Elephas maximus indicus: one gene and its partners. The protein of the gene in region 1 interacts with the protein of each later gene in a pairwise test. Links are inferred from orthologs where the notes say so. Each region holds a gene or a part of one and is shown in the gene's direction. Other genes may lie near its edges. The genes, in order: TRIP6, SIK3, FRS3 and NEDD9.

Evidence for each region.
Region 2: the proteins of TRIP6 (region 1) and SIK3 interact in binary tests that used the Homo sapiens proteins (3 or more experiments, as listed by UniProt). The two-hybrid records come from large-scale screens. The link is inferred for Elephas maximus indicus from reciprocal best matches to the Homo sapiens genes TRIP6 and SIK3.
Region 3: the proteins of TRIP6 (region 1) and FRS3 interact in binary tests that used the Homo sapiens proteins (3 or more experiments, as listed by UniProt). The two-hybrid records come from large-scale screens. The link is inferred for Elephas maximus indicus from reciprocal best matches to the Homo sapiens genes TRIP6 and FRS3.
Region 4: the proteins of TRIP6 (region 1) and NEDD9 interact in binary tests that used the Homo sapiens proteins (3 or more experiments, as listed by UniProt). The link is inferred for Elephas maximus indicus from reciprocal best matches to the Homo sapiens genes TRIP6 and NEDD9.

The regions. Positions count from the first base shown.
Region 1 is NC_064830.1:92,227,133-92,234,852, forward strand, and holds the start of TRIP6 (thyroid receptor-interacting protein 6), read left to right. Parts: upstream 1-4,426; 5' UTR 4,427-4,676; coding exon 4,677-4,785; intron 4,786-4,999; coding exon 5,000-5,127; intron 5,128-5,229; coding exon 5,230-5,355; intron 5,356-5,649; coding exon 5,650-6,033; intron 6,034-6,345; coding exon 6,346-6,439; intron 6,440-6,551; coding exon 6,552-6,721; intron 6,722-7,135; coding exon 7,136-7,314; intron 7,315-7,549; coding exon 7,550-7,670; intron 7,671-7,720. Other genes in the region: SLC12A9 (solute carrier family 12 member 9), read left to right, coding at 71-245, 459-605, 2,884-3,767. UniProt on the Homo sapiens protein: Relays signals from the cell surface to the nucleus to weaken adherens junction and promote actin cytoskeleton reorganization and cell invasiveness. Involved in lysophosphatidic acid-induced cell adhesion and migration.
Region 2 is NC_064835.1:9,375,359-9,383,404, reverse strand, and holds the start of SIK3 (serine/threonine-protein kinase SIK3), read left to right. Parts: upstream 1-4,632; 5' UTR 4,633-4,657; coding exon 4,658-4,930; intron 4,931-8,046. UniProt on the Homo sapiens protein: Positive regulator of mTOR signaling that functions by triggering the degradation of DEPTOR, an mTOR inhibitor. Involved in the dynamic regulation of mTOR signaling in chondrocyte differentiation during skeletogenesis.
Region 3 is NC_064819.1:106,208,147-106,215,828, reverse strand, and holds the start of FRS3 (fibroblast growth factor receptor substrate 3), read left to right. Parts: upstream 1-4,291; 5' UTR 4,292-4,374; intron 4,375-4,398; exon of another isoform or gene 4,399-4,449; intron 4,450-4,458; exon of another isoform or gene 4,459-4,598; 5' UTR 4,599-5,989; coding exon 5,990-6,139; intron 6,140-7,383; exon of another isoform or gene 7,384-7,406; coding exon of another isoform or gene 7,407-7,472; intron 7,473-7,682. Other genes in the region: PRICKLE4 (prickle-like protein 4), read right to left, coding at 567-674, 1,163-1,294. UniProt on the Homo sapiens protein: Adapter protein that links FGF and NGF receptors to downstream signaling pathways. Involved in the activation of MAP kinases. Down-regulates ERK2 signaling by interfering with the phosphorylation and nuclear translocation of ERK2.
Region 4 is NC_064819.1:54,872,036-54,879,852, reverse strand, and holds the start of NEDD9 (enhancer of filamentation 1), read left to right. Parts: upstream 1-4,546; 5' UTR 4,547-4,723; coding exon of another isoform or gene 4,724-4,735; intron 4,736-7,817. UniProt on the Homo sapiens protein: Scaffolding protein which plays a central coordinating role for tyrosine-kinase-based signaling related to cell adhesion. As a focal adhesion protein, plays a role in embryonic fibroblast migration.

The DNA.
Region 1 (7,720 bases):
TCCTGTCCGAGAGGTGCTGAGTGGTTGCCCTTTCTGGCCCTTCCTTCCTACATGTCATCCATGTCCCCAGGTACGCAAGTACCTGCTCCGGTTGGACGTCCGGAAGGACCACGTGAAGTTCTGGCGGCCGCAACTGCTGCTCTTGGTGGGGAACCCCCGGGGCTCCCTGCCTCTGCTGCGGTTGGCCAACCAGCTCAAGAAGGGGGGTCTGTACGTGCTGGGCCACGTCACCCTGGGCGACCTTGGTGAGTTGCCCTCCTGCTCACATTCCCATTCTCCCTCCCTCCTTGGTCTCAGGGATTCTTCGTGTCCCAGACATACTTCTTTCCAGATGACCTACCCACCCTGCCACAGCCTGCCTGGACCTTTTTCTTCTGCTCATTTGGGATTTGGAGTCTGGGAATAAGTAAAGGGGTTTGGCCACATGGGCTGCCTTCCTTTGCCTACCTTCTCCACAGACTCCCTGCCCTCGGACCCTGTGCAGCCGCAGTATGGGGCATGGCTGAGCCTGGTGGACCGGGCCCAAGTGAAGGCCTTTGTGGACCTCACCCTCTCTCCCTCCGTGCGCCAGGGGGCTCAGCATCTGCTGCGTATCTCAGGCCTTGGTGAGCTGCTTCCTCTCTGTTTCCTCCAGCTCCCTTTGTGGACCCGTTAAATCTCCACTCCCCTCTCCCAGAGAGTAAATCACAAATTGCAAACTCTAAAAGGAACTCAGAATCTAGTGCAGATAAGATGCAGTGCTCAAAGATAACAACCACGCTGATGGTGGTATATGATAAGGCCTAGTAGAAGATGCTGAGCGTTAGAGATGGGGTGATACTTTTTTTTTCCTGAACCAAGAATCGGGGCCCAGGCTTTGATGAGTCTGTTGTACTTCTAGGGGCAAGAGAAGAGTAATTATTTGGGTCTGGGGCTGCCCTATCAAATCTAGGGCAGATGGTTTCTAAGCACCAGAGTTCAGAGAAACAAATGCTGCTACGCACTGATATGGCCCGTAAAGTTTTTGTGAAGAGATGGTACCTCAGCCAGGCCTTGAATGGGCTGGAGAAGTGGGGAGCATTGCAACGTGGGCCGGAGACCACAGAGCACAGAGGATGCCAAGGGCATGGGGAAGGTTCCCAAGCTTTGTGAGTGTGTCTTAATGCTGAGGCCTCTAGCCTTGGGCTGCACATTCCTCCAAATTTGTGCTCAATATCTGTGGCCACCTTTTCCATTTAGGATCTGATGTCCGACAGTGCTGGACATTGCTTTGCTCAGTGCACATCAGAAAATGCTCAGGAGGGGATGTCTAGTTTCATCTGCAGTAGGGTGGGGGGAGGTGCATCGTTAGATAGCCCAGGGGCATCTGAGAGTCTGGTCTTTCCTCTGCCCCACCCTTGTAGGAAACCTGCAAAGAGGCTATTAAACCAAAAAAAAAAAAAAAAAAAAACCAAACTCATTGCTGTCAAGTTGATTACGACTCATGGCGACCCTATACGACAAAGTAGAAGTGCCCATAGGGTTTCCAAGGAGCGGCTGGTGGATTTGAACTGCCGAGCTTTTGGTTAGCAGCCAGATGTTTAAACCACCGCGCCACCAGGGCTCCAAGAGGTCACTACTTTCAGGAAATGTATCTTGATTCAAGTAAAAGGGAAAGGATTTCCTCTAGGTAGTGCATTCTCCTGGCGCGTAGAATTTGATTCACTGGTAGGTTTTTTGCAGCCCGTTTGTTTCATGAGGAGGAGTTTTGGAAGTGGTTTCAGAGCCTTCTGAAAATGCAGCCCTGTGAAAGGGAGGGATTATCACATTCCACATTGACTGTGGAAGTAGTACAAAACAGGGAGCTGTTGGCAGGGACTTGGGACGTTGTGGTTCGCATGCACACTGGCTTGGTGCTAGGCTGCCGCGTTCATGTGCTGGCCCCGGTACCTACGAGAGCAGGGAGACTTCGGCAATGTTACTTTCCTGCTCTGTGCTTCAGGTTCCTTATGTGTAAAATGGAAGAATAAGTGTTACCTACCTCACAACGTTGTTTCAAGGATTAAATGAGTTAAAACCAGGGTTCCAATGGGTCAGTTTTGTTGGGTGGGGGGTTCTGCCCCCTGCTGAGAATTTGCATTTCTAACCTATTCCCAGGCTGTTCTAATGCTGCTGGTTAGGGACCAGTTCGGAGAACCACTAGCAGAGCAGTGGTTCTCAAGATTTATTATATGTAAGAGTCACCTGGGGATCTTGTTAAACCATAGATTCTGATTCAGTATACCTGGGGTGGAATTATTTGCATGGCCTGGGAACTTGTTAGAAATGCAAATTTTCAGCAGAGGTTCAGGAAAAAAAAAAAAAAACAGCAAAAATCCCCTAACCTGTTCAAAGCCAGTGCTTTCAACAGGACCTGGGGCCTTGTAAGTTCCTTCAGGAATGGTGCTGTGAACGTAACATTCCGAGGCTTTGCAGGAGTAGGAACAGGCTGTGAAGCCTAGCTCGTCTCATGTCATAGCAGGATCTGAGGTGCTTTCCCTGGGGATTGAGGCCATGAACTTGACTAATCAGGGTGTCAGACTCTCCCATCATGAAAAAGGTGTGCTGCTTAAAAATGCGGAATAAACAGGTTCCTACTTCCCATGGCCCTGAAGTGCGTATTCTCCAAGTGAGGCGAGCTTTGACTATTTAAAGGAGGAGGTTAGTGATGAAGATAAGTGGATAAATGCATGTGAAAGTGTTTAGGAAAACGAAAAAGTCATTATGCAAATATACATAATGCCAGGAGAACCCACACACAGTGTAAATGTAATACTTAATGGCTGACACACTAATTGTCAGTGTGTCCGTGGGCGCATCCTTGTGTGGTAGAAGCTCAATCTGTGAGTCTGATTCCTGTCTGTTCTTTCCTGCCTCTGCTCCCAGGTGGCATGAAGCCCAACACATTGGTCCTGGGTTTCTACGATGATGCCCCACCTCAGGACCATTTCCTGACAGACCCAGCTTTCTCGGAGCCTACTGATGGCACTAGGGAGGGGGGGCCTCCAGCCCTGAGCACCTTGTTCTCTCCACCTCGGGCTCCTGGGAGCCCCCGGGCTCTCAGTCCCCAGGACTATGTGGCCACCGTAGCGGATGCCCTCAAGATGAACAAGAACGTGGTTCTGGCTCGGGCCTGTGGAGCCCTGCCCCCTGAGCGGCTGAGCCGGGGGTCTGGGGGCACTTCTCAGCCACACCACATGGACGTGTGGCCCCTCAACTTGCTGCGGCCTCGGGGTGGGCCCGGCTATGTGGACGTCTGTGGCCTCTTCCTGCTGCAGATGGCAACCATTTTGGGCATGGTGCCTGCTTGGCACAGTGCTCGTCTCCGGATTTTCCTGTGCTTGGGGCCTCAGGAGGCCCCTGGGGCGGCTGAGGAGCGGCTCCGGGCACTGCTGAGCCAGCTGAGGATCCGGGCTGAAGTGCAGGAAGTGGTATGGGGCGAGGGGGCTGGCATCAGAGAGCTGGAAGAGGAAGGGTACTTTGAGAACAGCGGGTGGGGAGATGCTGAGGCAGAGGCGCTGGCATGCAGCGCCAACGCCCTGATTCGGGCCCAGCAGGGGCGCAGCAGAAGTGGAGGGCCTGGTGGGCCGGAGGGTGGGGATGAGGAGGAGGGACCTGCCACTGCCCTGACCTTCCTGTACCTGCCTCGGCCACCCGCTGATCCTGCCCGATACCTCCGATACCTGGCGTTGCTGGAGATCCTGAGCCGTGACCTGGGCCCCACGCTACTCATTCATGGTGTCACTCCTGTCACATGCACTGATCTCTGATGCCTAATGGAGCCCCATTCCTGATGGTGGGTAGAAAGGGCCCACCCAGGCTCAGCAACCCCTCTTGATTAGTGGATGTCGAGGAGAGGAAGCACCTCTTTCCACTTGCCCTGCACTTGGGGCTGGAGCCCAGTGGAGATGTCAAGGGATTCTGGGCGGGCCAACTCCTTTCCCATTGTGAGTGGGACCCCATGTACTAACGTAGGGCAGCTCTGCATCCCAGTCTCCACTGTGGGGGGGGCAGTCAGCAGCCCCCCTTCCCTTCACTGGTGCCTTGTTGGGAGGGGCTGGCTCTCCTCTTGCGACTCTAGGCTACCTCAGTCTCCCTCTCATCGCTGACAGGCTCACTGACCCCTGAGGTTGTGATGTGTTCGTTCTGTTTTATTTTTCTAACTCTGCTGAACGTAAATAAAAGATCAACAAACTACATGCTGGTTGAGCACTGCCCGGCAGCAGGGGAATGGGAGGTGGGTCGACAAGAAAGCCATGTGCCCTTGGGAAAGGGAGAAGCATTTATCGGCATGTGGAAAACAGGGGTGCCGGAGCTGTCCCGACAGCGAGGTTGCCACGTGCAGGACTTGGGGGCGCGGAGCCAGTGGCAGCAAGGGGTGTGGGGCTGGGGGATTCGGGCGACCTGGAGGCAGCCAACGCGGGATCCAGGACACCACTCCCCGCCCCGCAGGAGGGGCCAACTCTGGGAGGGTTGGTGGTTTTGGGCCTAGGGGGCCACGTGACCCTCCCCCAGGAATGTGGTGACATCATCAGGGGCGTGGTCATCCCCAAAATTGGGAAGGAAGGGAGAAAAAAAAAAGGAAGAAAAAGTTTCTTTCCTGGAGTTCCAAACGAGGTGCAGGAAGAGAGGATCAAGGCCAGAGATCCGGGGCTCTGAGGGGTCCCCCGCTCCAGGCCATGTCGGAGCCCACCTGGCTCCCCCCGAAGCAGCCGGAGTCCTCCAGAGCTCCTCAGGGGAGAGTGTTCCCTCGAGGGCCCCCAGGGCCACCGGTGGCCCACGGAGCAGGTAAGGCAGCCCCGGTGCGGTGCGGCCGTAGGGGCCGCCGGTTGCCCAGCGCTCGCCTCTTCCCTCCACTCTTGCCCCCTCCCCCAAGCGGGCTGGGAGGTCCTGCCTGCCCCCATTCTCAGACCCCAGGTGGAGGAGGAGGGAAAGGCGGGGCCCTCTTGGCGCCCCTCGTCTTCTCCATCCCTACCTTTGGTCTCTCTTCCCCTCAACCCAGCACTCCAGCCCCACCCCAGAGTCAATTTTTGCCCCCTCCCATCTGAGCAGTGTTACCAGGCCGGAGGGGGACCAGAGGATCGGGGGCCAGCCTGGGGGGGGTCCCATGGAGCACCCCAGCGCCCGCAGGTGAATACTGGAAGTGGGGGGCATGAGTCGAGTGTGAATGGGACCCGGGGAGGCAGAGGAGACGTTGTGATTTGCATCTCCCTGCTTTTGCTCCATCTCCAGGGGCTCCCCCTAGATAGAGGGAGCTTGGGCCCAGGAAGTCTGGATGCTGAGATAGATTCGCTGACCAGCATGCTGGCTGAGCTGGATGGGGGTCGTGGTCACGTGCCAAGGCGACCAGACCGACAGGTGACTCCTCCCCTTCCCTAACCCTGCTTACTGTCCCCTGCTTCCCACACCTCCAGCCTGCTCCCTTCCCTGGATTGATTCTCAGTCTGAATTCCACCCACCTCCGTCCTACTCCTGTGTGAGAGATGTACGCCCAGCATGAAGAAGCCTGGGCCAGAGAGCTTACTAGGTAGTCAGCCACCTGAGGGCAGTGTCTCCTCAAAAGTTGCCCATCTTGGGGCCACACGTGGGGTTTCCACAGATGTGTGACCTGGAATGGGCCTTCCTTACTCTTTGTGGTCTCTTTCTCCCCAGGCTTATGAGCCCCTTCAGCCCCCTGCCTACCGCACGGGCTCCCTGAAGCCGAACGGAGGGGGTGTTCCATCCCTGCAGCTCCCAGCATCCCCCTATGGAGGTCCCACTCCGGCCTCCTATGCTACTGCCAGCACCCCTGCTGGCCCTGCCTTCCCTGTGCAGGTGAAGGTGGCACAACCAGTGAGAGGCTGTGGCCCACCCAGGCGGGGGGCCTCTCAGGCTTCTAGGCCCCTCCTGGGGCCCCACTTTCCTCTTCCCAGCCGAGGTGAAGTCTGGGGGGCTGGCTATAGGAGCCACCGGGAGCCAGGGCCAGGGGGTAAAGAGGAGGCTGCCAGGGTCCCTGGCCCTGCAGGAGGAGGAAGAGGAGGCAGGTACGGGTCCCAGGTAGGTCCACGGCACTGGGATTTTATAGACAACTGGATATTGAGTGGGTGGGGTGAGGATGGTGTTTAATGTCCTGGTTTTAGAGCAGAGTCACAGGTCGGGGATGTCAGAGCTCTGGATTCCCAAAGGGTGTGGGGGAGGCCAGAGAGGGGGTAGAGCACTGGTGTCTCCTCGAGGCTCTCCCCTGGGTCCTGGGCTGAGCTGCTCTCAAATGGGCTTTCTGGGTTGAATCGCATGTCATGTCACACACAGGGATTTTTATAGTGCCAGAAGTCCAGAGGTAAGACCAAACCCCTGATTCCCACCTCCCAGGTCCCCCTGAGCCAGCCTCCAGAGGAGGAGCTTGAGAGGCTGACCAAGAAGCTGGTGCATGACATGAATCACCCACCCAGCGGGGAGTACTTTGGTGAGCTGCCTCTGCAGTGTGGGAGCATGGGGAGGTGATACTGGAGAGGCAGAGGATGTGGGGGTCTGGCTTCTGGGTCTGTGTAGATTGACCTTTTCCCCACTATCCCTAGGCCGGTGTGGGGGTTGCGGAGAAGATGTGGTGGGGGATGGGGCCGGAGTGGTCGCCCTTGACCGAGTCTTCCATGTTGGCTGCTTTGTCTGTTCTACGTGCCGGGCCCAGCTTCAGGGCCAGCATTTCTATGCTGTGGAGAGGAGGGCGTACTGTGAGAGCTGCTATGTGGTAAGTGGTTCGGGCTGGGTGGCTGGAGTCAGCAGCTGGAGATAGGTGGGAGCCAGATGGCCAGCCCCAAAAAGGAAAAGGACTCAAAGTTGGAGAACTAGAACCTGTTGGAGGGGGAAGACAATGGTTCCTTACAAGTGTGAAGCATTTTAGAGTTAAGGGAATAAATTAAATCCCCACATTAGCCCTGTGAGGCAGGTATTATCGTTGATGACATTTTTACTGGAGACTGTAGCTTAGAGGGGTTAAATGACTTGTCCAGTAAGTTGTAGTGCTGGGACTTGAACTCATCCTCTCAGGTCCACCTTTCACTGAATCACATGCAGGAGGCTAGGTAAATAGATGGGTAGGCTGGCAGGATGCCTGAAGGGCTACCATGGGGTCCCCTGACCTTCCTGCTCCCCTTCCCAACAGGCCACCCTGGAGAAGTGCTCCATGTGCTCCCAGCCCATCCTGGACCGGATCCTTCGGGCTATGGGGAAGGCCTACCACCCTGGCTGTTTCACCTGTGTGGTGTGTCACCGTGGCCTCGATGGCATCCCCTTCACGGTGGATGCCACCAGCCAGATCCACTGCATTGAGGACTTCCACAGGTCAGCATGATAACCCTTTCCATCTCCCTCACCTCTGTTTCATGCCCCAGTATCGATTACTCCTGTTTCCAACCCTGGACCTGCCTCCTTCTCTTTGGTATACCTCTCTTCCCCAGTATCCAAGACCATACCTCTGGTCTCTCCTGTTTCCTCCGGCATCCCACCTTCTTGGGGCTCCATCATTAGTCCCCTCAACTCCGGTCTTGATAGCCTCATTAGTTCCCTTTCACCCTAGGAAGTTTGCTCCACGATGCTCAGTATGTGGCGGGGCCATCATGCCTGAGCCAGGGCAGGAGGAGACTGTGCGAATTGTTGCTCTGGATCGAAGTTTTCATATTGGCTGTTACAAGTGTGAGGTCAGGGGGCCTGGGCAAGAGGAACAGGTCTGGGGTGCTGGGTATGGTTA
Region 2 (8,046 bases), on another chromosome or scaffold:
AAATATATATGTCACAGAACATTTGCCATTTCAGCAATCTTCACGTTCATGTACAGTTCAGTGACATTATTTTCATCATTATTGTTCAGCCATCACCCTTATCTGCTCCCATATTATACCATCACCCAGTAACGGTGATTTTTATGTTTTGCGTTACATAACAGAAATGACTGAATGGTTTCAGGGAAAAGAAAAATGTGGCCAAACTGAACAGGAAATTCTTGACCGAAAGCTTATTTAGCTTCTCTTAAGCCTTTTTAAGCCACCTCCCCAAGACATTTTATAGCAAGAGACTATGTAGTTAGTTACCTTTGGCTGCTCAGACCTGCTAGGTATTCAGGGGAAGCATTTGGACGTGACTAGGTTGGTCTGGGATAGAAGGAGGAAGGAAGGCAAAAGCCACATAGCTGAGGTGGCATTGAGGAAGGCAGCTCTAACAAAGAGAAGGCGCACATTCAGCTCACCAGGAAAAGCAGGGCACTTGGAGTGTTCAGACAATGTGTCTCCAACAGTGCCCTGGTTTCTGCGAGATGGCAGAATCTGTAACTGGCCAATACTTTCCTTCTTTGGGAATATGTGGCACATAAACATTCTACCTTGCTGCCTTTCTGTATATAGAATTTCTGAAAAATACTTGCTATTATACTGGTATAATATTGGTATAATGCCAGCTTCTTTTCAGAGCAGTAATGAGTTGTCTTTTTATTTACTTATTTTTTGAAATTTATTATTATTTTTTTTAGATGAAGGTTTACAGAGCAATTAGTTTCTCATTAAACAATATCCATATTGTTTTGTGACACTGGTTGCCAACCCCACAACATGTCAACACTCACGCTTTCTTGGCCTTGGGTTTCCCAGTTTCAGCTTTCTTGTCCTTTCCTGCCTTCTGGTCCTTGCCCCTGGACTGGTGTGCCCATTTAGCCTTGTTTTGTTTTATGAGCCTTTCTAATCTTTGGCTGAAGGGTGAACCTCAGGAGTGACTTCTGTACTGAGTTAAATGGTGTTGGGGGCCATGAGTTGGGTCATTGTTAAGTGAGGGGTTGGACTATCTGCAAAATCTTGATGACTCCAAGAGTCTATGGAGCAATGTTGTGAGGCTGCAGTTTTCTGCTGGGTTACTGGTCAACTGCCATGCAGACAGGCTAAGCAAGCGTTAAAACGCATTGAAGAGTTAATGTATTAACTCCCTATATCACTCTCAGGTAGGACCTTAGCTCCTCAGAGATTTTATATCACTTCTAGAAGTTTCTAAGGGCCTATTTGGAGCCCCGGGGGCGCAGTGGTTAAGAGCTACGGTAAGCTATGGGTGCTAACCAAAAAGTCAGTTCAAATCCACCAGCCACTCCTTGGAAACCCTATAGGGCAGTTCTACCCTGTTTTATAGGGCCGCAATGAGTTGGAATTGACTCAACAGCAACAGGTTTGCTTTTTGGGTTATCATCAGGAATGCCTAGGTTTGCTCTTTTCAAAGTCTGGAAATAAGACACAATGACATTACAAAGGAAAAGGTCTCATTTTCATCTTTGAGTCTAGCTTTTGTTTTTTCAGAAGAGGGTACATTGGTTATGGTGGCTGACCGAGCTGTGCAGTGGCTAGCTCTGTGCCTTCACCCTGGGCTACAGAGGCCCTGAGAATTCAGCCCTTCAGCCACTCCTCTAAGTCTGCAGCAAGGTAGGAACACATCTTCCAGCCTCTTTTCATAAGGACACCAGTACTCCTATACAATAAACAGTGAGCCTCTTTTTGGTGGTATTTACAACCAAGGCCATCACAGGTACTTAATTCACTTTTGTAGTCAGTTGTTCCTCATCAGTACACTTCAGCTGCTTGCTTCCGTCCGGCTCTTAAGAGCTCTCAATGTCCTCTTGTTCCGTGGGTCTAAGCTGAGCTCAGTTACCCTGGGCTTCTGGAGAAACCCTTTTCCTACTAGCTCCTAGCTTGACAGGGATTGTAATTAATACACTGGGAAAGATCTCAGGCTCCACTTCCTGGGTTTGAATAGCTCTATGACCTTGGCCTATTCTCTCAATCCCTCTGTGCCTCATTTTCCTTAAAAGGGGATAATATAATCTCATTTCACAGGGTTGCTGTGAGTTTTTGGTGAGTTAATTTACGTATACTGTTTAGCACAGTGCCTGGAAAAATGTTGTTATTATTGATTGTGAGTTACTCCAGGGCAGCTGTTGTGTCTTATTCGTTTTTGGATTCCCTTTCTACATTTCCTCCCCAAACCTAACTCAATCCTTGGTACTCAATACATTCTAATTGAGCGCATACATACAAACAATTTTCTTTTTTTTCCCTGATGGTTTTTTTGAAGGAGTCCTGGTAGCGCAGTGGCTAAAGCACTTGGCTGCTAACTGAAAGGTTGGAGGCTGGAACCTACCAGCCACTCTACGGAAGAAAGATGTGGCAGTCTTTGGAAACCCTATGGGGCAGTTCTACTCTGTCCTATAGGGTCACTATGAGTCGAAATCGACTGGACAGCAATGGGTTTGGTCGGTTTGGGTTTGGTCTTCTTTGATCAATCCCCTCCCCACTTCTCTATATTCTTTTCATAAAAGAGGACTCTTCAGCAAGTCTTCACCCAAATCTCAATCCTACATATCATCTATTAGCCTCAATCCATATATGCAGGGAGCACCAATGGCAGAGCACAACATAACACATTCTGGTCATTATTAAGAGACAACAGTGATCTGCCTCTTCTCTTTGGAAAGTAGACCAATGCTCCATTTCCCAGTCCTCTTTGTTTTTGACACCCTCCAAAGAGTGGCAAAAGTTGTGATGCTTGATGTTCAAACTGTCTCTGTGAGTGGAGAGGAGGCTGGACAGTCACTAGTGAGAATGGTTTCCATGCTGCTTCTGCAGCCTCCAGAGTGAAAGAGTCTTTCCTTGCCTTTCCAGTCAGGTGGGGTTTCTTTCTCTGGAGGTTCCTCCCATGAAATGGTAAAACTGGGGTCCAGCACCATGGTTGGTCTCCGCTAGAGGCAGATGAGTGGGGCCATGAAGTGGTTAGAGGAGTTGGCTATGTCACATCATTGATCTAAGATTGAACGACCTCAGCTGAGGAAAGAGAGGGCTTAACCAGTGCAAGAAGCTGAGAACCAATTCATCCTTGTCCTGCTTTGCTAGTAAAGGAGCCAATTAGTGTTAATTGTGTTGGCAATTTGGAACAGCTAGCAGAGAATTGGCTCAAGACGATCATGGGATGACTCCTCTGTCCCATCCTGGCCTCAGCCATTACTCAGTCAGATGGAGAACCATAGGGCTAGAAAACGTCCCTTGGTCAAAGAGAGTAAACATGCACTCTCCTTCTGGTCCATCTACAGTGCCCTGGTGGTCAGTTTTTGACATTGTACATATGGTGACCTGGCAACACAGCTCTGCCACTGAGGAACTCAGTCTATTAGGAGACAGATGTGAATGGATCAAGGCTAGAGTGAGGGAATACACTTTGTTAACTTTGGAGTGTTCACGATTTCCTTTCTCCCCCAACCTGCCAGACAATCTTCTTATTGCCAGCTCAATTTCCTACCCCCATCTAAAGCAATTACATTAATCTGCTTAATAAAGGGAGGGGGAAGCCTGGGAGCTAGTGAAAGCCTCTGAAAGCTGTGGGATGCCTAACAGGGGAGGAGAGAAAAAGGAATATGAGATTTATAGTCAGGATTATGAATTTGATCACCTTTAATGTCCTTGGAAAGTCACTAGTAAGGATGGAATTTTAATCTTATTTTTTGCCTAATGGGCTGTTATTTAAATATGACGTGGCTCACTGGACAACTTGCACCAGTGTTTCATCAGGGTAATACAAGCAACAGAAACAGTATACAGGCACTTTGGTAGACATTTCGCTATATAATTGTTGAGGGACGGAGGAGGTAGGAAGGAAAATGACGTACATTCTTTGGCCCTCGCCTACCAAATGACTGGAATGCGTGTTTGGGTTGGTTTCTTAGTGCTTGAACACGCAAGTCCTAATTTCCCCATTCCCGTTTATTTGGTGACAGCTAGAATGATTACATAGGGTGAGCTGGGTTTTGTAAGAGGAAGGAATTTTACTGAAGAATTCCCCTGCTTTGCTACCAACTTGGTTGGTTACAGTTACTTAAATACCATAGCTATTCCTGCCTTTGTGGCCTCAAGGGCTAAAGTGGGACAAGGCTGGTATTTTTGGTGATGAGGAAATACTTTTGTTTTAAGGGAGGCTGGGTGATTGCTGAACTGGGACAGAGGTCACAGCAGGGGTCAGATTAGCGATTCCAGGGGCGACTGGCTGGGGGGTGGGCTTTGGGTCAGGCATAACGCAGCCCCGGACTCGGGAAGCGCTGCAGAGGTCTCGGACTTGCTGGCACACTGCGGGTTCCCACCCGCCTCATCCCCAGAGGGGGGCACCCGGGAGCCAGGGCCTGAGGAACTAGGGCCCACGCGGGAAGGTCGAGCTCGCCGGTGAGGTCACGGTTGCCATGGTTCTTGGCAGTGACGCGCGTCGGCACGTGACGAGTGGTTGCCATGGCGCCGGGCGCCCGGCGGCGCGGGCGCTCCGCCTCCCGGAGTGACGTCCGTCGGGCCCCCCCTTGCCTTTCCCGCCCCCCCGCCCCCTCCCCCCAGCCGGCTCCCCGCGGCCCCGGAGGTTTCACTGCACAACAAGATGGCGGCGGCGGCGGCGAGCGGGGCTGGCGGGGCTGCCGGGGCCGGAGCGGGGGGAGCCGGGCCGGCGGGCCGCCTGCTGCCTCCGCCTGCCCCGGGGGCCCCGGCCGCTCCCGCTGCTGTGCCCCCGGCGGCTGGCGCGCCGCGCCCCGCAGCCCCGGCCTCTCGCGGGCCGATGCCCGTGCGCATCGGTTACTACGAGATCGACCGCACCATCGGCAAGGGCAACTTCGCGGTGGTCAAGCGGGCCACGCACCTCGTCACCAAGGCCAAGGTAGTGGCGCGACGGGACCGGGGACGTCGGAGGGTGGTGCGGGCAGAGGGATCCCCGGCGCGGAGGCTGAGGGGGTCGCGTCGGGCTTGGGGCAGCGGGTGGGCTTGGGGCATCGGAGCGCGTCGGGACCGGGGCACGGGTAGGGGGCTGTCGGCGGCGAGTGGGGACAGGGGTGGCAGACGGTGGGCAGAACCGGCGGCCCGAGACAGGGCGGCTGTCCGGCGGAGGGGCAAAGGGGGCCCTGGCCCGGGACCTGGGAACTGAGGAACCGGGAGGGGAGGGGGCTCTCAGGGCTGCGTGGACGCTAGCAGAAGGCGGGGTTGGGAAGAAGGGCTTTGGAACTTTCAGGGAGTCAGGAGACAGTAAGCTAGAAGACTCTGGAACCAGTAATTAGGAAATCAGAACAGAAGGAGGGCTTGGGTATGTGAAATGTGGACCAGGAAGACGGGGGAAAGAGAAGGGTAAACTGGCAGACCTGGGGTTACGAGGGAAGCAAGGACGGCTGGGACATGTGCAGGGGGAGCACGGTGGGTGCAGGGTACTGGGAGATATGAGGAACAAGGTACCTCATGATAGGGACACAAATCAGCATTTGGTCATCTAAGACTGATAGGGGATGGGAATGGGAGTTTGAAGGGAGACCATATTATTGGTAGAGGCAATGAGGAAAATGGCAAGTAGGGGGAAAAATTACTTTGCTTCTCTTCAGGAAGAGGACTGGATCCTGGCAATACCTGGGCTTTCTGGAATAGAGGCCCAGGGGGGGGCCTTAGGTCTATGGTAGCACTGGGTAATCAGGAGTTAAATAATTTGGGGTGGGCTAGATTGCTGGTTATTTTTAGTTGTTGGAAGGTCTCAATTCTGGGCTTCATACACCCAAGGTGGGCCTTCGGTGGTGAGGGGAAAGCATTGAAACCGAGGAGGCATGTGAGGAACCCACAGGCCAGAGTGTCAGGAGGATAACGCTAGTTGGACCCGTTGGTTCCCAAGGGTTTTGAGGAGCTGTAGCAGTGAAATTGCTCAAGGTCAGTCAGGAAGCCTTGTGTATACACACATATACGTTTATTTCTTTTTTGAGGAAATATGGATAGTATTTTTGGACTTGTAGGCACCATAAAGCCCATTTTTACTCTAAATTTCTTTCTTTGGTCCATGTCTCACTTGACTGAATACATTTAACGTAGTCATTCATTATATTTAAAACTGCAGTTTGCGTTTTTCCCTCTGCCTCACTAATGAAGAACCTTCATAGCTGCTGCTGCTTCCTATCAAAGCCACATCAATTCCCCTCACCTCTTCAGCCTAGCCTCTGGTTATTATCACCTACCTTGTTTTCGCTTTTTTGACAACAGTTAAATCGCTTGTTTTCAGAAGCCAGTGACTTATCTAAGTCTTCTCTCCTTCTCACTTGCAACCTGAAGTTCCTTTTTCTCCCCCTTTCTGTCAAAGACTACAAAGGGCCCCTCTTACCAGGGTGGCAGGGTGGGTGGCTGTGGAGAATTGATTGGTCAGTTTCACTTCCTCTGGAGGGCCCCCTTCAGCCTTTTTGTCAGTTTTTATCAGAGGGCCTGAAGCCTGCAGGTCAGAACTGAAAGAGATACCAAAGTCCAAGGTTCTTGACATTACCCTCAAACCCTGAAGGGGGTAGACTCTGGTGCACACCCGCCCAGTGCCCCCACCCCCACCCCCTTGAGTTTCCAGTCCTGTTTACTGTTAACCAGGCTAAGCTTAACATTCACAAACAAATCTAGTTGTCCATGCCTTGTTTCTTGTTTTGGTGTCCCCCCCCCCCAGCCGCCCCCCTTCTAAATAATCACGTTGCTCCTGTGATTATTTTGCTCCGACCTCTGGGGGATGGACTCCATGAACTTAATTGGTTGCTTGGTTTATGGTATCTGTAATTTAAAGAATTTTGTGTCTTCCAGCCCTTGGATACACCAAAATATTGATAGAAGCTTGTGACAGACATGGTTGAATATTTTTGTAAATGTAATTGCTAACAGTTGATTCTTGGCTTTCTATATGAAAGCGACATTTCTATCTTCAGTAGTCAGCAAAACCAGTGGCTAATTATGGCTCGTCTGCCCGCTTTCTAATTTTCCAGTTTTTTTTCCCCCCTCATAGCGTTTCTCTGAGGCTTTGGTATCCTGTAGGACTGCAGGATTTTCAACGTTGGCTTGTTTATAAACGGGTGTCACTGTTTATGTTGGTTTTTATCTTTGATCATTTGTGGTGTGCAGTTAGTTACGCAATTCCTACGTATGGAAATGTTCAGCCTTGAATGAGACTGAAACGACTTGGACAATGAGTTGCATGTGCTATGGGGCCACACCAGCGTTCATTTCTGTTTCTGTAGCTGTGTGCAATTTCCTAGTTACAGTTAACAAGTGCCCTATCTTTCCCGGCTTAAATTACTCTGACGACATGAGTGAGGCTTAATTCACAAGGAGTTGTCATGTGCTCTGGGTGAACGATGAGCATGTTTTAGCCTGCTCCATGCTTATTTGAATCCACTTGGGAAGGGGTTCTCAAATGCTGCCAGCTTAGATGTGCCTAACAGCTGTTGACATAGAGTGTGATAACCTATTAAGGCCATGATTTGGTTATATAATGGTGGGGAAGGTGCATAGGTGCTAGAAGTTGCCGAAGCTGCTGTTTCTGTCGCTCAGTCAGGTGGGTAGGTTTTTCTACCCATGCACTGCAGCATTTATTTTACTTCTGCAGTCAGGTTACTTGGAACCAAAGAAAGCTATTTTTTTTTTCGGTCTGTTTGCATAATTCCATTTCTTTGGTTTTGTCTGTGTTTTAGAGGGATTTTTTTTTTCTTCTTCTTTTTTCCCTGTAGGTCACTAAATGGTGTAGATTTATCTTATAACCGTATGTAACAGTCATACTCTGGAAATTCAGATGATACTTGTTTTGACTAAATGAGGTTGGGTAATAGGTATTTTCTGAACATCAGAGGTAAATTTATGATCACCTTTTCTTACACACACTACCCATTCCAAGGACTAAGAGGCTAAAGTAAACTTCATTTATTGACTGAGCTACTGTACTCCATCCAACGATAAGTGGTGAAGCTGGCCCTTTCCCAAATTCTGTTAACTCACAAACCT
Region 3 (7,682 bases), on another chromosome or scaffold:
GCATAGGAGGGCATTGAGGAGGAGAGCGAAAGAGGGCAAGAAGCTCATGTAAGTCCACCTTAAGTCTCACTTCTCCCAGGAATAGTCATCCCTCAGATCCTGACAGCCCCATAGCACTTAGGTAGCCCTGTCACCTTATATTTAGGTCTTTGCTCCTAATGAACTGTATGGCTCAATATCACTTCCTGTTCTGACTTCTCTAATTATTTCATATACTCCCACCCCCACCTTCCAAATGAACTGTAAGCCTTTAGGCTAGGTACATTTAGGGGTTCAATAAATACTTAGCCATAGTCTCTACATTTGTATATTCCATTATTGGTTTCAAAAGTCGTTCATGTCCATTTCCTCATTTGGTCTTCAACTAAGCATGGTGGTGGGCAGAACAGATGCTGTTTCACCCATCATGTAAATGTGGAAATCCAGGCTAGGGAAGGGGTGACTCCCTCCAATTAGTGGCAGAGTGGGGCCTTGGATCCATGTTTCCTAACTTCTGGACTAAGGTTCTTTCCACAGTAAGTTGAGACATTAAGAGAGAGAGGGAAGACGGGGAGAGGGAGACCCACATCGCTGTCCTGTGGAGGGAGCTGTTGCAGGAGGGTGCGAAGCCCAGGCCCGCTGGGGGCCGGGCTGGTGTCCAGGTGAGGGGGCCCCAAGCTCAGAACTGCAGGACCCTGAGGAGACATGGCAGAAGGTGAGTGGAGCTAGGCTTTTCCTTTCTTACCCTTCTTTCCTCCCTACCTCATTGCCACCTGTCCAATCTAGAACAGCTTCCAAGCCCTCGCTCCCTAAGTTTGGAGGATCCTCCTTCAAGATAGCTGAGAGCAAGGATAGCTGACCCACTTCTGCATTTGTGCTCTGATTTGAGAGAGGTTGGGAAGGTCCCACACTCCACAACAGCTTCTGTTCCTATGCCTGAAACCACCCTCTTCTTCCCCTCTGGGTCTGCTTAAAACACAGACCCTCTAGGAGGGAGTATTTATGTGAATGAGTCTAAAATCAAAACTTGTATCTTGATGGGGCTGCAGGATTCCTAAAAAGAGAAAAGCGCCACAAGAGGTTGGGCACAAAGATAAACCACCTCCCAGGTGATGGAGAGGGGAGGAGGTGTGAAGTATAGAGAAACTGTTGGTCTCAGAGGAAAGAGTGAGGCTTTTACAACCTGAGCAGAAGTATCTCCTGGGTCCTCCTCTGGCAGGTGGCCTGAGTCACTGTCTGAGTTGGCTGGTGGGTCTGGCTCCCTGAGGGTGGGGCTCTCCCCTTTGTGGGAGCAGCCTGAGTTCAGTATTGACATTGTTGGTAGGGTCTGTGCAATGACAGTAAGAACACCTCCATTTTATGGGGCCATTGCAATGTGCCAGGCAGTGCTCAGTGCTTTACAGGCATTATTATCTCATTCAGTCCTCCCAACAACCAGGTGAGTTAGGTGATACTGTCCCTATTTTACAGATGGCCAAACCGAGGTTCAGTGAACATACACACAAGGTCATGCAGCTTGTCAGTGGAAGAGCCAGGTGTTGAGACCAGGCCTTTCTACTCCAGAGTTTCTGAAGCTCAATCTTTGGGGTCTCCCAAGATTCAGATGGAGGAGAAAGACGCCCACAGTTGAAGGAGAGGGCATATTGCCTTTCTGGTGAGTTTTCGAGCTGGCTGGTCCCTCCCTCCCCAGCTTTAACTCTCACCATTCCTCATCTTGCATTCACTACCCCAATGAGCCTACTTCCTCACTGCTCCCTACATAGGCCTTAAAGGACCACCTTACCAGGAAGCCCTCCTCAGCCTTTCTGGCCCAGACCCTCCCCCTTTTCCTGACCTTCAGTAGTAAGTTCAATTGGTTCCCCCAAGATTTAGCACCTAATGTTCCCCTCTTTTCAGTGTGTCTCTCTAAGCTCCTTGTCTAGTCTATAAATTCAAGGGCAGAGGAAAATCTTGTGCTTCTATCTTCGATCTATAATAATTTCATTGGGTAATTCTAACCACATCTCTTCAGCTCTCTGGGCAAGCCCTGATACACCCACAGTATCTGCAGGGAGTGGAGGAGTCGACCACTGAGGTAGAGAAGAGACAGGCAGGCCCTGATCTCAAGGAGCTCACCATCTATCAGGGGGAAACATGCAACCAGACAGAATGGGGAGCTCTCGGCAGGAGCTCTCGGCAGATGTACATAGTATCCTGGTATAAAATAACCAGAGCAAATTTTTCTGTAATGTTTACTCTGTACCAGGGACTATTCTAGCATTTTATATATTATGACTTCACAACAATCATATGAGGTACTTTCTGTATTCCCATTTACAGCTTAAAAAAAACAAACTGAGGTTAATTAACTTGCCCAAGAGCCACATAAGAAAACAAAGGAGAGCTTTCGGAGGAGGTTGCCTCTGAGAGCTGGGATGGATCCTAACGGCAGGCACAAGGAGAGTCATCGCCAAATCCCTGGCTTTGGGTCTGGGCCGGACTTTGGACCAACCAAAAACCAAACCAAATCCTTTGCCATCGAGTTGATTCCGAATCATAGAGACCCTACAAGACAGAGTAGAACTGCCCCAAAGGGTTTCCAAGGAGCAGCTGGTGGATTCAAACTTCCAACTTTTTGGTTAGCAGCCTAACGCTTAACCACTATGCCAGCAAGGCTCCACGATTTGGACCATGACAGTTACATTGCTTTGCAGCCCTGAGTCCCCCTTAGCTCCCTTTCAGATGTCCTGTGCCACCCTTCCTGGCTCCACACCCACCTGCTTCCTGCCTGTTCCGTCCCTCTGGCAGGTTTCCTGTGGAAGGATACTGGGATGGGCTGTTCAAACTCAGCGATAGGAGTAGCCACTTCCCCTAGTAGCACGCGGCAAGAGGGGCGGGGCGGGGGGGTTGGTGGCGAGTAGGGGGTCGGCAAAGGACAGAGGAGTATCTGGGGCCCCAGGAAGTGATGTGGACCCTATCTTCCCCATTGGCTCTAGTTTGCATGGAACTGTTACAGAAGCAATGCTCAGAAATCGGCCCTCTACCCCTCACCCTTCTGTTTGCTCCCCCTCACACAGGGCAACCTAACACCACCATGGCCTAGCACTTGAATCCACCTTACTAATCTACCATATTCCTTCCACAATTCCCCTTTACTCCATAAGAGACAGAGCTGAGCCCCCTCCTCCGTCCTCGCACAGGTGCGCCAGGGCTCAGGAGCTCGATCTCCCCAATCCATCAGGAGGCTCTGGGTACTGGAGGAGGATGGGAAGGTTTCCCCCGCACAGTGGGAGGGGGAAAGGGGAGGCGTCTGGTCCCAAAAGTATCCTCCCTTGTCTTTTCGACAGATTCCCCTAAGTTTTTTTTGGACTTCGCGGGCCCCACCCCAGGGACAGAGACGCAGTATGGCTCCTGTGTCCGCTGGGGCTCCCAGTCTAGCAGCCGAAAGTTTAGAAGAGAGGGCAGGGGCTACGCTGGGGCCTCACCTTCGCCGCGCGCCGGTGTCCGGGCGGTTCTGGACAGACCCCGCCGTCTGGCCCCTCAACCAGTCCCCACCCCAGGGCTCCAACGCCCGCCTCTGCCCGCCCCGATAGCGCGGCCCCGGCCCGCCCACCCCTCCGGGCTGGAAGAGAGGAGCAGCTCAGGGAGGGGCCTGCACTTGCAAACAGAAGGGAAAGTATTTGTGGGGTCTCGGGATGGAAAGAGTGCAGGCTGCACGGACCCCAGCCACGGCCTAGTGTCGGGACCGCGCCTCGGCGGGCGCGGAGCACACCCCCCACAGCCGTGTTCGTACCGGGTTCTCGGCCACGGGCTGAACCCACATCCGCGGCCCCTTCTCTAGACTCTCCCCAGGTTCCCCCAAGCCCTCCCTCAGGTCTCCTGTCCCCGCCCCCTTCCTGAGACCCTGCCCCCCCGTTTCCTCTCTCCTGTCTCCAGTGAGCCCTCCGCCCATTCTCTTCTCAGCCCCTTTCCTGCGTCCCTCTTCCCTGTCCTTTCTCCATCTGCCCCTCCAGCCCCCTCCGCTCTCCTTTGTGCTTCTCCCCCCGCCCTCTCCGCCCCACCAACTCCCTTGCTTTCCCGCTCCCGGGAGAACGTCCCGCCCGCCCTCTTCCCTAGGCTCCGCCCCGCTGCCGTCTGGCTCCTTCAGCGGCTGGTCGGGAGCGCCCTCTGGCGTCTGCGTATGCTCCCTGCTCTCGACTGCAAAGTCCTCCAAAGGGACCTTCTAGGCTGCGCGCCCGTCGCCCCAGCTCGGGTCCGCCCGCCCGCAGCGTCTCGTTGGTGCTGCCGGGTGACCTCCGACCCCGCGGCTGAGGGGCGGGGCGGGGCGGGGCGGGGCGGCCTTAGCTCCGGGCGGGCGGCGGCTGCTGCAACGGGACCCGGGAGCGGGGCCCGGCGCCGCCCGGGCCGCGGGGCGATGTGAGTCGGGCGCGGCGGGGCGGGGACGAGGCGGCTCCCCCGAGACCGCGCCGCGCCGCAGTCTCCGCTCGTACCGTAGGAAGCCCCGGGCGGGCGGGCGGTGGAGCCCCGGGCTGGGGGCGGGGATCCAGGGACAACGCGCGCCCCCTCCTCCACCATTCCTTCTCGACGTGTAGAAATTCCCTTGATTACCGTGCAATCTAAATCTTCCTCTCACTGCCCAGGAAGTCACCGCGGCCCCCTCCTCCGGTACAGCGGCACACCATCGCACCTCTGGGGACCCCCGGAATCCCCTTACTCCTGCAAATTCCTCTGATACGCCTGCAGGCCCACCATTCTCTCCTGGATGCACCCAAGCGGTTCCACCACCCGGAAATTTCTCTGGTCCCTCATATCCCCCGTTCTTGCACCATGCCCAAGACCCAAATCTTGCCCACATTCCCTGAAACCCTGTCATACATCCTGAGTCCCCCTGACCCCCTTTAACTCCCGCCTTGACCCGCACCTATCCCAGACTACAGCCCCCTTGCCCCCATCCCGCCCAGTGTAATCCCCCTCATTGGCCTGAGGATATGTCCTGATACCTCAGAGATGGGGAATAGAAAAGGCACCCTATAGTTAGTCTTGGGTTCATCCCATAATCCCTGTTGGTGATTTAAACCCCAATATTTTTACACACTTTACTCAGCCTGCTTCTTCCAGAGAATAAGCCAGACTAAGAATTTCGGGGGTCCTTTTACCTGGGAAGTTGTCCAAGGATGCCAGCTAGCAGGGGCCCTGGGAGTTGATATTGTTGGCCAGAGCAGGCGAGTAGGATTTCCAGGGTCTCCAGGCGCCTGGCGTGTCGACTTGTCTGCCTGCGGCTCACATGCCCTGAAATTTTGGGGTTTATTGTTATCATTATATTAAAATTTTAGGCCCTTCAGAGCTTGAGGAGCAGAATGTCAAGCTCGCAAACGTAAGATCGAAGGAGCCTGTCCTTAAGAGAAAGATGTCGATTTTATTGATTTTTGTCTTACACATCTACCTTTAGAAGTTACTTCAGCTAGCAGCCCCACAGTTTACAGATGTTTCATATGTAAAAACTAAACCCTTGAGGTGGGGAGGGGGGTGTGAGTGGGGGATTGACTTGACAGTGTTTCCCAGATACTTCATAGCAACAAAACAGACTAGAATATCGGTTTCCTGAACTTTAAACCAGTGCTTTCTTCAACACATTTCAGTGTCATTTTGAGAACGCTCTTCGTAGACTTAAAGTTCTCTGCAAAGGCCGAGTGGTGTTTTTGGTGTTGGTTTTAAGAGGATTCAGAGGGGGTCTAGAGGTGATTTGAAAGGTTTTGGGCTGTCCCAGACTTCAGACTCACTGATGCTAGGGGGATCTCTCCATCTCAGGGCCTCTGGGGCTTGGAATCTGTGATCCCATTGCCCTTTCTTCATTGGTGTTCCTGTTCCATCAGGACCTGGAACAGAGATTCCAGGACTGACAACCAAAAAAAAAACCCAAACCCTTTGCTGTAGAGTCGATTCCCACTCATAGCGACCATATACAACAGGTTAGTTTTGTTTACAAGGGTGGGGATGGGAGGTTTCTACTAACCTACTATCTCTGTCTCCTATGCTAGGTGAGCCCCAGGTGTGTCCCAGAGGGCTCCAGGTCACTTCTTGGCTGACTGCTTGCCATGATACCCCATCAAGGACGGGGAGAATAAAGTGGAGACTTTCCCCATGCCCCTCCCATGGTCAGCTCCCCGATGGCCTGGGTGAGGTAAGTGCTGTGTATAGAAGCTGATTTTTTGGAATTTCCCAAGTTGGGAGGAATGGAGGGTACAGGTCACTGGCTCATTCAAGGGAATTTTATTCAGAAGGATATCTAACTCACAGACTCACTTCCTGCATCAAGTTGCAACCTCTTAATTTCTGGTCGATGCCAGTCCATATGTTTGCTTGTTCCATTAGATCACTCAAGCCTGGGTGGGACCTCTTCATCCTTGGCACAGACCTCACTGTTGTCTTATAACCTGAGTACCGTAATCCTAGAGGGAAAAACCAAATAGTAAGGTCTCTGGTCTCTCATTCAGACAAAGAGGAATAAACCCAATATTTTTCTTTTTAATAAGACATACCAAATCAAGGTTATAAAAACCATGCTCTGTTTTAAATGTTCAATTTTCTGACTATATCTTTGTGACCGTAATATAACACCTCATTTGAAGAGAACCTCACAAAGATAAATTTGAGGGGGATGTTGGGAAGGTGATGAGGGAGGAAAAGAGTGAACTTAGATGATGTGGGATGGGTGGGGTTAAAAAAGGAGAAAAAGAAAGATACTGAGTCGAGTGGCTGGGACTCCCAGGTTACAGCATCTTTGCTGAATCTGGGTGAGGGCCCCAGGCTTGCGCCCAACTCCTGATGCAAATCACTTCTCCTGGATCCTTTTATCTGTGCTGTTCCTGCTGCCTAGGTTCCTTGTCATTATTATCATTGTTAGCTACCATCAAGTTGGCCCCCAACTCAGAGTGACCCCCGCACGACAGAATTCAACTCTCCTTGGTCCTGCACCATCCTCATGATCGTGTGCAGATCAGACTGTTGTGATTCGTAGGGTTTTCATTGGCTGATTTTCAGAAGTAGATCACTAGGCCTTTCTTCCTAGTCTATCTTAGCCTGGAAGCACCGCTGAAACCTGTTTAGCATCATAGCAACACACAGGCCACCATGGGTCAAAATCCTACATACTTCTCAAGATCCAGATCAGATGTGACTTCTGAGAAGTTCTCTCTGTTCTTCTCTCAGCATTAATCCTTAATGCATTCTAACCTGGATTGATGTTTATCCGATGTGTGTCTGGCCCTAGATTGAGAAAGTGAATTCCTTGGAGGAAGAACTGTGTCCTGACAGCCCCTTAGACAGAGCAGATGATCACAAGAAGTGGTTCTGTTGGCACTCCCCAGAGCAGAGCATTTTGTAGTGGCCCTTGACGAGCTGCCTGTACCTTATGTTTTTCCCTAGGGTGGGCTGTCTGCTCTGACACCATGGGGAGCTGCTGCAGTTGCCTGAACAGAGACAGCGTCCCAGACAATCACCCCACCAAGTTCAAGGTATCCACAGCTTCCTCCTCTCACGCGTTGCCTCAGCTTCCCTGGAGAAGGTGAAATAACAGGCTGAGGTTGTGGGCTCAGGAAGACTTCCTGAGTCAGGGTCTCTGAAATGGCCTGAGGAAAAGAGGCCCAGACCACTGCTGTTTTTGCAGCCCTTGTACTACCAAGAATGAAGAAAGTCTGTAATGGTAGCAAAAATAGTGCTTTTAG
Region 4 (7,817 bases), on another chromosome or scaffold:
CAAAAGGTCATGGCCTTGAAAATCCTGTGGAGCACAATTCTACTCTACACACATGGAGTTGCCGTGAGTCAGAATTGACTTGATGGCAACTAACAACAACAAATTAACTGTTATAATAACATGAAGCATCAAAAACTTCACAATTGCACAGTTTTCCAAGAATCAAGTCGAGGTATTACCCGGATGGCTGCGTTTGCACAGATCTAGCTAGGTCTTTAGTTGCCTACCAGTGGCATGGTTTTACATTCATTCTTTCACAGTGGATCTCATTTTTGACGGTCACAGTTTTCTGAGAACTGTAAGGGGTCTAAGACACTAAATTTTAGCACTTAAAACCCACCTCAAAGAGTCTCAGCTGGAAGGCAGAGGCAGCAGGAAGTGGGTAGAGGGCTGCACTCAGTACAGCGACACTTGGCTTAGTGTGAATGGGCGGCAGAAACTTGTGCCGTCTCCACAGTGTAGGGACCCCCCATGCCCAAAGGACAATGGGGCGGAGTAAAAGGAGGGAGGCATTGGTGGGCAGGGTGGGGTTCTTGGCTAAGATACAGAAAAGAGTTAGTGTGGAAAGGAGGCTAGATGGCAGAAAAGAGAGGGGACAATATTCGTGAAGAGGGACGGGTGTATGCAAAAGTAGGAAGGTGCACACCTGTCTGCGAGTTCGTGAGTCCCCAGGTGTGGCAAGAGTGTAGGGTGTGGGGGACAGTACAGAAGGGGAGGGTAGGCTCAGATTATACACCATGCCAACGTGTCTGGGTTTTGTTTTATAAGGCATTGAAGTGTCACTAGAAGTTCTAAACATGGTAGCATGTGATTGGCTCTGTACTTTAGAAATTAAATAGGTACTGATGTTTATAGGGTTGCTATGAGTCTGAACTGATCTGATGGCATCTAACAACAACAATGTGGACTCTAAAGCAGGGAGAGATTTCAGGCAGAGAAACTAAAACCAGATTATTGGTAGAGGTCAGAGAAGAGACCATAAAGGACTGAACTACAGCTATTGCTGTGAATTGCTGTGGAATTGGCTGTGGCTCATGGTGACCCCATGTATGACAGAACAAAAAGTTGCCTGGTCCTGCACCATCTTCACGATTGTTGGTATGTTTGAATTCACTGTTAAAGCCATTGTGTCAATCCATCTCATTGAGGGTCTCCCTCACCTTCACTGGCCCTCCCTCTACTTTACCAAACATGATGTCCCTCCTAACGACGCATCCGAAGTGAGACAAAGTCTTGGACAATAGTCTGTGATCCATCAGGTTTTCATTGGCTAATTTTCCAAAGTGGATTGCTAGGCCTTTCTTCCTAGTTTTAGTTTGGAAGTTCCACTGTAACCTGTCTACCATGGGTGACTGCTAGAATTTGAAATACCACTAGCATAGCTTCCAACATCATGGCAACACACAAACCACCACATATGACAAACTGATGTTGACAGTGGGGTCTTTACAGCAGGAATTGTTATTCAACCTGGTATGACCCTGTGCAAGGTGCTCACGCTCTCTGAGCAGCAGTTTTGTCTTCTTTGTGAGGGGTTGTACTCGATGATGTCCAAGGTCGCTTTCTGCCCTGCCATGCTCTGGCTGTGTGACTTTTCTCTTCATAGTGAGAAAGCAGCCACATGGCTTCCTCCCAACTTGCGGACAGAAGTATCTCTCTCTCTAGCATCCACTTGGATTTCTTCTATGTCCGTGCCAATGCCCAGTGGCAGCGGAAGGGTTGTTTGGAGGGCATCTAGTGTCATTTCCCTTGCTCCGGCCTGTATGAGCATCTGGGAAGATAGACCCTTGGCAGACAAGCAGACAGGCAGCAAGGCTGAGAGGTCAAGAAGCCCATGGAAGAAAGTGCTGGCGAGCACGGGGGGCAGGGCCTGAGCCCCAGTGCCCTGGCCTGGCCCGCTGTACGAGGGTGCCCATGGGAGCCCTAGTGCTGCTACATAAATCAATAGAGAGTATTTACATATCACAGTTTAAACAGCAACTTTACATCCAATATCTCAGCTAAGGAAGGGGTGGTGGGGACCCTGTTTCTCTATTCATTGAGAGAAATTTGTGTTTCCCCCAAGGGATTTGAAGGAAGAGGTTAAAGGACACTAATAAAGTAATATCAGGATTACTTAAGTCGCATTGAGACCAAAACCAAACCAGTTGGCGCCAAGTCAATTTCAATTCATGGCTACCCCATGTGTTTCAAAGTAGAACAGCTCCTCACAGGATTTTCAATGGCTGTGGCTTTTTGAAAGCAGATCACCAGGCCTATCTTCTGAGGCAGCTATGGGTGGCTCAAATCTCCAACCTTTAAGTTAGCAGCTAAGCAAGTTAACCATTTGCAACACCCAGGGACTCCAAAAGAGCCCTGGTGGTGCGGTGGTTAAGAGCTTGGCTGCTATCCAAAATGTCGGCAGTTTAAATCCATCATCTGTGGAAACCCTATGGGGCAGTTCTACTCTGTCCTATAGGGTCACTATGAGTTGGAATTGACTTGATAGCAATGGGTTGGGTTGGGTTGGGTTGGGTTGGGTTGGGTTGGGTTGGGCTGGGTTTTTAGGGACTTCAAAATAAAGAAATTAGTAAATTTGCTCAGAGTCCAGCACAGGTTTATCTGACTCCAATGCCCTGGTTCTTTTCTTTCTGTAGCTAGCTATACACTGACCCAGCCTTCTTGAAATGAGCTGCTGGTGGTTCTTACTACACAGGACAGAAGCAGGGAAGCAGGCTGACCATTGGCGGGAATTAAGCTTTAAAGCTAGAGAATGAAATTACCAAAAGCCCTAGCCTATGTCTTGAGGGACTACTGTAAAATCTTAACATGGGATGGGATAGTGTTCACATACTCAATAGTCCTCAGCAAGCACAACAGGGGAAGGATTCAGCTCTACTGCTTACTAAACCAAAGGAATGTTATCTAGATTTCTTGGAGGCTCACAAGACTCATCTTTCAGATGGAAAGGCCTTCGACTAATTGTTCTTGTTTATCCAGCCAGACACCAAAAACAATTTCCTGCAAATGAAGGAATATCCTGTAAGCCTGCAGTACTGCTAGGAAGACCCTTGCAGCACAATAGGCTGGTGTTTAATCTCTGCTCAGAGAGCCCTTGCAGAATCACTGAGGCCAAATGAGGGAAAACAAGGCTGGGTGGAGCAGAGAACAGTCGCAGAGAGAGGGCCGAAGGCGGGTGTCCACCCCATTAGGACTGCCCAAGGGCTGTGTCCCAGGAATCTCTGCCACATTCATCTATTAACTAAATGGGAACCGTCTATCAGGAAACCATTTTCCTAGGCCAGCTGCTCTCCTCTTTTCTTTCTTTCTTTTTGTTTAAATCATAAAAGTAGAGTTTTAATCCATTGGGGATTTGAAGGGGGGAAAAAAAAACTTATTCAGATACAACTTGATCAGGAAAAAAATAAGGGCTGATTTTCCATCCAAGTCACATAGCTGGTTGAAGTCCATCCCCTTCCAGGAGCGCTATTGTCTGGATTCACCAAGTCTCAGTCCCGAGGCCAGTGAGAAGGAATTTTCCCCTCAGCACTCTGTCCTTCGGAAGAATTGCTGAAGGTGACCGTTTCTGTCCTCTCCTGTGTGAGTCTGGAGACTCACTACAGAAATCATGAAGCTGAACCGAAGGTTCTGTGCTTTGGTCTTTTTAACCAGGCTCATCAAACAGTGGGCATTTTTTGTTCCCCGGATAATAAGTGTTGGTGGGTTAATGGGTCATCTTCAGCGGAGAGGTCAGCAGGAAAAACAGCCGTGTTCAAAGCTGGAGCTAGAAAAACCAAGCCATCAAAGAAAGCAGCTTGCAGTGGGCACCGATGATGTATAGTGCGTCCACCGGCCAACCCCATTGGAGAGGTCACATGGAACCTTTATCCTAAGCCAAGCCAGTGAAGGTCACCAAACGTGTGTGACGCTGGACTCGGGGAGGCCTTCGTGAGAACAAGCCAGGGAAGCTGGTGAGCTGCTTTTCACTGAGGGAAGATTGTATTCCCACTCGTTACAGATTGACATTGGAAGTACTTTGAACAGTGAAAAGAACAAAAAAAGCAAACAGCCACCAAGAAAAAAAAGAGAGAGAGAGAGAGAGATCAGCAGGGGTGGTTAGTGAAAAGGGGCCTGGAGACAGAACAGCTTTTGTTCCCAGAGTTCGTTTCATGTAGAGATTTTGAGGTGACTGGCTTTGAAATGAAGTGGTTTATGAAAGAGTTGCCAAGGCACAGGAAGCGGGACTGGCAGACTGTTTTGTGAAGCAGTTTCTTTAAAATTTAGGTTAATCTTAAAAAGCATTTATTCCCTTTTCTTGGCTTTGCTTTCAGTCTTTCTCTTTTCTTTTTTTGATGGGGTGGAGGGATAGTTAGGTTTGGGAAGGTTCTCCCCTTTCTGTTTTATTTTCCAATCTTTTTCAAAACGTGAAAAGGAATTACCACATTACAAGTTCTTTGTCAGGAGTTTTCAGAAGCTAAGCCATGGGCGGGCACAGTATTACCTTGCTGCGCGAGCCAATAGCCGGACAGCATGCAAATGAGCCCGTGATCCGCCTGCTCTGGTCAAAACAGTGAGCTCAGACGCTTTGGAAACTTAGCTGTGCGCAGGGCTCGGCGGGCTTGGGCGGGCAAACCATCAAGCGACCGTTCTCCTTTTCATTTAACACTCAATGGAGGGACAGACACTCCAGTCCTTAATGCTGTCGTACTAGTTTAGGAAAACGGTTCCATTCACCGCTGCCGAAATGAAATATAAGGTAAGAGATATTTCCTATTAAGCCTTAGGCTGTGCCTGCGAGTGTGGGTGTCTGTCTGTGTCTGTCTGCCTGCCTGTCTTCCGCTGCGGCACGTCCCCGAAGGGAGCCTTTCTGTACCCGGGAGAGTTGAGATGGGTCTAAGTCACTTTGGTTGACATGCAAGCAGGCAGACACCTAATCTCTGAGACCCAGGACCCATCTTCTCTGAAAGTTGCCAGGGAAAGGACCTGGTGAGGAGTTAGTAACACTGAGAACCCATCTACCGCGGTGTGTTCAGAGGGTCTCTAGCTGGAAGCGCAGGAGGTATTGGCTCAGATCTCGCCTGCTTTCCCGGGCCGGGCTCCCCCTGTCCTGGGGAGCAGGAATGAGGGAGGAATCCCACTGCTGGGTCGGTACAGCTTTTCAGGCTTTACTTTAGCGTATTGCGCTTCGTCTGGGAAGCAGTTTGCCATATATCCTTGGAGTGGCTGAAATTAAAAGCCCCAGGTACGGTTATGTAGCTGATGATGGAGAATTTTGACATTCTTAGGTGAAGTTGAATGCCGGAACAAATGAATATTAGCCACTTCTTGAAAACTCTTTTATTGGCATTTGAATGGACTGGCGGGTATGGGCACTTTTACTGTGACTGGAGCTCATAGAATGTGATAATACTTCGGTAGCATTATTTTCCCATGGGTTTTGCACTGTTATTTTTGTGTTTATTCTTGGCAATAGAATTACAACTTGCTCAGCATATCCATTTTGTTTTAAGTAGCCCCATCTAACTGAGACAAGTGGTTTCCAGGGATAGAATTACTCTGTACCGATGTAGATAGCAATGAGTTGGGTGTGATTTTTCCTTGGGTTGATGAATATTTCTAGGATAGACATAAGTACTATCACTTTTAAACAAAAGTGCTGTTATGAAAATAGATTTTGGCATGATATCTATGCTTTTGGATTGACAATTGGCATTACCTGTCTGGCCTCTGAGGTTGTGCTAGCTGGGAGCTACAGGTACTTGGCTTTCCTTCTGAATTACCTAGCTAAGGGCCCATCCTTTCTTAATGTCAGCTTGTAAATACTTGGTTCTGGCTAATAGCCACTGGTTAACTCAGTGATAAATCTTTTGTTCAAAAGCTGTAAATCTCAACGTCCAAAGCCTTTATTGTAGTGCATGAGTTGTGGTTCTCTTTGGAAAGGTTACAACTCTGTGAAGAAACAGATACCAGTTGTCAGCTTTCCCAAAGGGAAGATCAGAAGATGGGTAATCCTGAAGTCCTCAAGATTTGACTTTACAATGCAACCAGAAACAAACCCTTCTACCTGGCAAGAAAGTTCTGCTTCTGGACGTGGTTCACCCCCTATTCCATAGTTCCTTACTCAGAAAAAAAAAAAACTAAACCCAGTGCCATAGAGTCAATTCCGACTCATAGTGACCCTATAGACCAGTTATTGCTTGGCCTGGGGCGATATTTTTGCTCCTTCTCTCCCTCTTGCTGACTGCCTTCATTTCATATAAACTGGCAAGCAGAAAACAGAGAAATTATGTTCATACATTTATTATTGGGAAGTATGAATGGCTGAAAGTAACCTCAAAGGCTGCAGTCTAGAAAGTGACAGCAGCAGGCACGAAGCCTAAAGTCACTTTTATTCAGTGACCTCATCCTGGTTAGCTTTATTCTTATGGAAAGAAAACATCATGGCAGCTTGTAATGTAAAACTGCTACTGGCTTTCATGGAGAAAACCTGCTCTCTTTACCAAGTTTTACCAGTGTTTAAAAAAATAATATTAACAGTGCAAATACACAATTTTTAGCATTCATTAGCTCGTGGACTCTTTTGCCAGCAAGAAAGGGAGAGAGTCCAGCCTTCTCACCTTGTGCTGACTCTAAAATGAACCATTAGTTGGAGGAATCTACTTTTCCTTTCTCATAAAGCCTGTTTGCTCTCTAGATGGTAATGGAAAACTTTGTTTCAGAAGAGAATTTTGTCATTTTAAGTGGAGGAGATGGCACACAGGAAGAGAGAGAGAAAAAAAAAAAACCCAACCCCTCTGTCGATAGGGAGAGGAGTGATGAATAACATTAATAGAGGTTTACTTTGACAATACAGTTATTGTCCCAATGGCTCTATGAGGTGGGCATTATTATCATACTCATTTTCAAATGTGAAAATTGTGGCACAGAGACACTGAGTGATGTACCCAGTGTCACACAGCTAAAAACTGGTAGGATTCGAACTCAGGTGACCTGGCTCCAGAACTCTCGATCTGACCCACTATTAAGAGAAAGAGCTATCTGTGACCGCCCCCTAAAATGTTCTGTGTGACTGAGGTTTACTTCTTCCAGGAAGTTTAAGACTATTTCATCCCAAGCATTCCTGTAGGATAGATTCTTATGTTTTTAGACAGTAAATCTACAAAGCAAAGTGAAGTGTACCTTTGGCACTTATTTGTTTAATTTGAGCCACATTGGTAGTAAAACCAGGTAATTATTAGATTGTAAATTCCTGGAGTCAGGAATTACCTCTTAAACACCATGTTGCTCTGTACACTATAAACTTAGCACAGTCAGAATTTAAAATGTTCATTGAGAGATTTATAATTCAGATCCATTAGTTTTTTTTTTTTTTTAAACTGGATTATCTGGTTTGGCTGCTTCAGGGATCATAACTAAAAAAAAAAGAACAACCAAATCTCTACTCATTTTGCACTTAATGTATACAACTTCAGGCCAGCCAGCTATGTATTTACAATAATCTTGAGAACTGTGGAATGTAAGCTGTTACTTCGGGTAAACCTTTTTTGTAAGCACACAGCTAGTCTATTTTTATTTCATTGCGGGTTTTTTATTTGTTCATGTAAATACTGTGGTCATTGTCGTATGTACTTAATATCCCATCTCTCTTAGAAGGTGTTCAGTCTGTGGTTATGTGATAGTTATGTAAAAAAAAAAAAAAAAGTTATGTATGGGGGGCTTAATCGATTTGAGAATTTTCTACAAGCTTCTCTGAATATATGGAGCCTGTTCTGAGTGGGGGAGGGGGGGCCGATGGCCTTAGAACACTTGCCAAGGAAGGCTGTGGCTCCTGAGGGTAT